Linked DNA regions of Cricetulus griseus. The protein of the gene in region 2 interacts with the protein of the main gene of each other region in a biochemical or structural test. Links are inferred from orthologs where the notes say so. Each region holds a gene or a part of one and is shown on either strand. Other genes may lie near its edges.

The links. The genes of interacting proteins can lie anywhere in the genome.
Region 1: the proteins of Rrm1 (region 2) and Rrm2 form a complex in vitro, tested with the Homo sapiens proteins (3 studies listed by BioGRID and IntAct). The link is inferred for Cricetulus griseus from reciprocal best matches to the Homo sapiens genes RRM1 and RRM2.

What each region holds. Positions count from the first base shown.
Region 1 is NC_048600.1:26,960,956-26,963,231, forward strand, and holds part of Rrm2 (ribonucleoside-diphosphate reductase subunit M2), read right to left. Parts: intron 2,121-2,276; coding exon 2,026-2,120; intron 1,891-2,025; coding exon 1,757-1,890; intron 425-1,756; coding exon 320-424; intron 240-319; coding exon 126-239; intron 15-125; coding exon 1-14. UniProt on the Homo sapiens protein: Provides the precursors necessary for DNA synthesis. Catalyzes the biosynthesis of deoxyribonucleotides from the corresponding ribonucleotides. Inhibits Wnt signaling.
Region 2 is NC_048596.1:96,938,253-96,941,774, reverse strand, and holds part of Rrm1 (ribonucleoside-diphosphate reductase large subunit), read left to right. Parts: intron 1-1,167; coding exon 1,168-1,345; intron 1,346-2,054; coding exon 2,055-2,155; intron 2,156-3,522. UniProt on the Homo sapiens protein: Provides the precursors necessary for DNA synthesis. Catalyzes the biosynthesis of deoxyribonucleotides from the corresponding ribonucleotides.

The sequences.
Region 1 (2,276 bases), on a different chromosome or scaffold from region 2:
TCTACTTTGAAAATCTGAAAAGGAGCATCGAGACATCAATGCTGAAAACAAGTCACACACACACACACACACACACACACACACACACAAAAGCGAGGAAGGGAAGACCATAGAGGACACTTTACCTTGTTGAACCCCAGCTCTAGCATAAGCCTGTCTGCCACGAATTCGATATACTGCTTCATCAGAGTGCAGTTCATCCCGATGAGCTTCACAGGCAAGGCCTCCGTGAGGAACTCCTAAAGGCCGAGCAAAGCTTGAGCACCCTGAAGCCCCAGGAACCCCCTTCCAGCAAGAGCAACCCACCCACATCACCCACCTGCTCTATCCTCACTGCGTTGGTTATTATTTCTTGTACTCTCTGCTCCGATGGCTTGTGTACCAGGTGCTTGAACATCAGGCAGGCAAAGTCACAGTGTAAACCCTGGAAGGGAAAGTTCAAGATCACTGTGAGGCTGAAGACTCCTACTGTTCACATGTGTGGATGAAAATTGCTTTATATATCTTTGTAGTCTCATGCAATTTTTCTGGCCACACTGAGAGTATTTGGCTTGTCAAAAGGAAGCCTGGTATGGTGACATACACCTGGCACGATCCCCATGAGTTTACATTGTTCCAGACCAGCTAGACTACAAGACCTCCAAAACACAAAACAACAAAATTGAGGAAAAGCAGGTGGCCTGGGCATGGTGGCACAGGCCTTTAATCCTAGCACTTGGGGAAGACAGAGAAAGTCAAGTCTCTGTGAGTTCCAAACCAGCATGGCCTACAGAGTGAGTTCTAGGAGAGTTAGGGCTGTAAAGGAGAAACAGGCTGTTAACAGTTAAAAAGGTGTTAAACTGCCAATTGTGAAAGCCAAGTAGGCTATCCCAAATGAAGGCCCTCAAAGCTACCCCCTACTATAGCATAGGAACAGGCCTATACCCTCTGATAACCAAATCTTTGCTTAGGTTTCTCCACAGCTTTGAGCTCCAGTTCTCCTTAACAAGGAGGGTCAGTTAGCTTTTCGATACTCAGGAATTAGATAGTTTCAATGAGGTAAACTTGTGACTCTTAGCACACCATTCTCTAGTAAGTCTCAGGGCTCCTCATTCCACAGGGAGATAATCACCTACCCTGCCTGCTTGCCCACTGGATCCAGGGGTGGTGGGGTGCCAGCCCCTGTCTTTCCTCAATCTACTTCAAGCACCTACAGGAGCCTTAGGTCATCAGAGGCCTTACCAATTAACTTGGCAGTACAAAGACATACAAAGGATTGCTTATGATATCCTAAAAATCCTATTCAGAGATCTCAGCTTTTGCATTCAAGCCTACAGGACAATAGGAATATGTGTACTAATTATGGGTAGTTTCAATACATCACTTAAGGTATTTTCTTCCTTGCTGAGTATATGGCATGATTGAGCTCACATTAAATGTGGTGGATATGGGGCTGGGAATGTGGCTCAGTGGCACAATAATTGCCTAGCAAGCATGAGACCCTGGGTTGGATTTCCAAGGCTTGACATGGCTCAGCAGTCTCGAGGAGCATTTACTGCTCTTGCAAAGGAGCCTGGCTCAGTTCCCACCACCTACACGGAGGCTCACAACCATATGTAACTCCAGTTGGGCATCCCACATCCCCCTTTGTCTTCTGCAGGCAAAATACTCACACATAAGGAATGCATCCTTTGAAATGGCTACGCCTTCTTAAGCCCCTGTCAGTAGATACAAGAGCACATAGCTAGGAGCCGAGGACCAGTTATTTTAGACTCACCTCGTCTCTGCTAATGAGCTCATTGGAAAAGGTGAGGCCGGGCATCAGTCCCCGCTTCTTGAGCCAGAATATTGATGCAAAAGAACCAGAGAAGAAGATCCCCTCCACGGCAGCAAAGGCCACAACGCGCTCTCCTATAGGGCAAGAGGCAACACCAAAATGTTCCTAGTGAGAGCTTGGTATTCTTAGTGTGGGCCAACAACCCAGTGACATTACTTGGACAAGCAAAATCAAGCCCGGGGCTTTAGGAGAAAACAAAGTGTCCTTACCATATGTAGCCTCTTTGTCCCCAATCCAACGCAAGGCCCAGTCAGCCTTCTTTTTCACACAAGGCATTGTTTCAATAGCATTGAAGAGATATTCCCTGCAGGCAGAAGTAAAGCATGAACTATGATGCCACAGACCCCTGGCATCACAATCGTGCTCTATATACATATACACCAGCACGCCAGAAGAGGGCATCTCAGATCCCACTATAGATGGTTGTGAGCCACCATGTGGTTGCTTGGAATTGAACTCA
Region 2 (3,522 bases):
AAATATGTAGATACAACTTAGATTTTATTTTTCTTTAAAATGTATGGTGGGCTCTGTAAGCATGAGACCCTGAGTTTGGATTGCAACCCATGTGGAAAAGCTGGGTACAGCAGTGTGTTTAACCCCAGCTCTGGGCACATAAAAGCGTCAGATCCCAGGCACACATTAAATTGGCAAGCTCCAGACTCAAGGAGACATTGTCACAGTGAGACTTCTGTCCATGTGCTTTCCGTGCTGGCTCCTCTGACTGTGTGTACTGTGTACTTGTGTGGGTTTTTTTTTTTTTTTTTGTGTGTGTGTGTTTGCTTTTTGTTTTTTTCTTCATTCCTTGTTCATTTATTCTTATTACTGTGGGAGAAAATAATTGTAATAATAATTCAATTAAAACATAAAAACTATCTGGTTTCAGGCAAGCCAGGGATACTTTGTAAAAATGTGTCTGAAAACAAAAGTGAAAAAACAAAGCTATTCATATACTCTGTGCTTTTGTTATTATTGATCTTTCAATTTTAAATGGTCTTTACTGAACTAAAAATAAGGAGAGAGGCAAGTTGAATCCTGAAATCCATTCTGACCTCCACATGCACCTGCATGGGTGAGTGAGCCTATACTGATGTGAAGAGAGGGCTCAGTTGGTAGTGCTTGCTTTGTAAGCCTGAGGACCTGAGTTTGGATTCCCAGCACCCATGGAAAAAGTCAGATGTGATAGTGCATGCCTGTGGGAAGGCAGATACAGGGGGCTTCCTGAAGTCCACTGGTATATTATCTTGTCCAGATAGTGCACTCCAGGATCAATGAGAGACCCTGACTCAAAAACTAAAATGTGTGAGGTGGGTGCTGGAGAGATGGTTCAGCAGGTCAGAGCACTGGTTACTTTTCCAGAGGAACCAAGTTCAATTCCCAGTATCCACATGACAACTCAACTGTAACTCCAGTCCCAGAGGATCTGCCATCTGTTAGCATGAGGCATGTACTTACTCTTTCGAAAAACTAAACTTCTATTTTATATGTATAGGATACATTTTTGGTAGTTTTGTTGGTTTATGGATTCTTACATTGGGATAAATAATGGTTTTCAAATGAGGAGATTATGTTATAACTTAACTATTTTAAGGAGGCTATTGTTTCTTGGGAAAGCTCAAATAACTATTGGTTTTATTTTTGTAGGCTCAAATCACCATGAAAGTAATCCAAGGCCTGTATAGTGGGGTCACCACAGTGGAACTGGATACTCTGGCTGCTGAGACAGCTGCAACCTTGACTACGAAGCACCCTGACTATGCCATCTTAGCAGCAAGGATTGCTGTGTCTAACTTGCACAAAGAAACAAAGAAAGTGTTCAGTGGTATGTCTGGAGTAACAACATTTTAAAGAATTTAATGCTGTCATAACATTATAGGAATAATAATTACATAAGTTTCAAAGATTACATCTTATTTTAAAAGGCAGTAAACAACTCAGTGGTATAGTGTAAACTAGAACTTCCTGCTTTTCCATGTAGCTGACCTGCTACATGTGTGTGTGTGGTGTATGTTGAGACAAGGTCTCATTTAGCCCAGGATGCCTGCAAACTCAGTTTGTAACCAAGGCCAGCCTTGAACTCCCGATGCTTTTGTCTCTATCCCTTAAGTTCTGGGATTGTAGGCATATGTCATTATTCTGGCTTGAATTTCTGTTCGTTTTGTTTTGTTTTGTTTTGTTTTTCGAGACAGGGTTTCTCTGTGTAGCTTTGGAACCTATCCTGGCACTCGCTCTGGAGACCAGGCTGGCCTCCAACTCACAGAGATCTGCCTGCCTCTGCCTCTGCCTCCCGAGTGCTGGGATTAAAGGTGTGCACCACCAACGCCTGGCTTACATTAATTTTCTTTGAAAGACTATTTCTTTATATATATAAAGTATTATCCTATAGGAACTCAACAGACGTATGTTTGTTGAATATTTTCTCTGCTAGGCACTGAAGTGGGTTGGTATTTAAAAAACAAGAATTGAAAGCCACTGTTTTCAAACAGCATTAAGTGGTTTTGACTTTCCTTTTTTATTTTATCTTTCCTCAGATGTGATGGAAGATCTTCACAACTACATAAATCCACATAATGGCAGACATTCTCCCATGGTGGCCAGTTCAACACTGGATATTGTTATGGCCAATAAAGATGTATGTACAACATTTTTTTCTGGTGGAAATGTTTTGATTTTTGTTTGTTTGTTTGTTTGTTTTGTTTTAAAGTAATGTATTTAAGGCTAGGTAGTGGTAGTACATGCAAGCAGAGGCAGGCAATTCTCTGAGATAAAGGCCAACATGTTCTACAGAGCATGGGCATTCTGTTCTCACTGTTGTTATTTTCACTTAGAGCTATAACTCATAAATATCAGCATTTATGAATCTGCCTCATTTATCACTTATCCTATCAGTGGTATAACATTCCTTGTTTTTGGTTTTTCGAGACAGGGTTTCTCTGTGTAGCTTTGGAGCCTATCCTGGCACTCGCTCTGAGATCAGGTTGGCCTTGAACTCACAGAGATCCACCTGCCTCTGCTTCCTGAGTGCTAGAATTAAAGTGTGTGACACCAAAGCCCGGCCTACGAAAGTTCTTTAACATTGACCATTTTTGTTTTTGTGTTTTTTGAGACAGGGTTTCTCTGTGGCTTTGGAGGCTGTCCTAGAACTAGCTCTTGTAGACCAGGCTGGTCCCAAACTCACAGAGATCCTCCTGCCTCTGCCTCCTGAGTACTGGGATTAAAGGCATGCACCACCACCACCCAGCAACATTGGCCATTTTTTTTTTTAAATAATTTATATTTATTTTTGTGTACGTTGGTGTTTTCCCTACATGTGTGTCTGTGACAGTGTCAGATCCCCTGGATTGGAGTTACAGACAGTTGTGAACTGCCATGTGGGTGCTGGGAATTGAACCCAGGTCCTCTGGAAGAGCAGTCCATGCTCTTAACCTCTGAGCCACCTCTCCAGTCCCAACATTGGCCAATTTTATAAAATCTTATTACCACAATAGTAATTTGTTGGGCTAGAGAGATTTCTCAGTGGTTAAGAGCACTGCCTGCTCTTCCAAAGGTCCCGAGTTCAATTCCCAGCAACCGCATGGTGGCTCACAACCATGTGTAATGAGATCTGGTGCCCTCTTGTGGCCAGCAGTTATACATGCAGGCAGAACACTGTACACATAATAAAATAAATAAATCTTTAAAAAAATAGTAATTAGTTTTAGAGCTGTTAAAGGACCATGAGTTTTTAAACCCTATAAGCTACTTTCTGTTTGCTTGTAATATGTATTATTTTGTTCGGTTTAAAGTGGGTTCAATGTCAAATAAAAAATTGGAAGCTGAAAATGGTGGTATATGCTTATGATCCTAGGAGGAAGCAGAGTTAAGATTGTCCCTGCAAGTTCAAGACTAGACTGCTAGTCTACTTAGTTCAGGCTAGTCAGAGGTACATAGCAAGTTCCTGTCTCAATAAAAATTAAAAGGTGAAGCCAGGTGCACACCTTTAATCCTAGCACTCTGAAG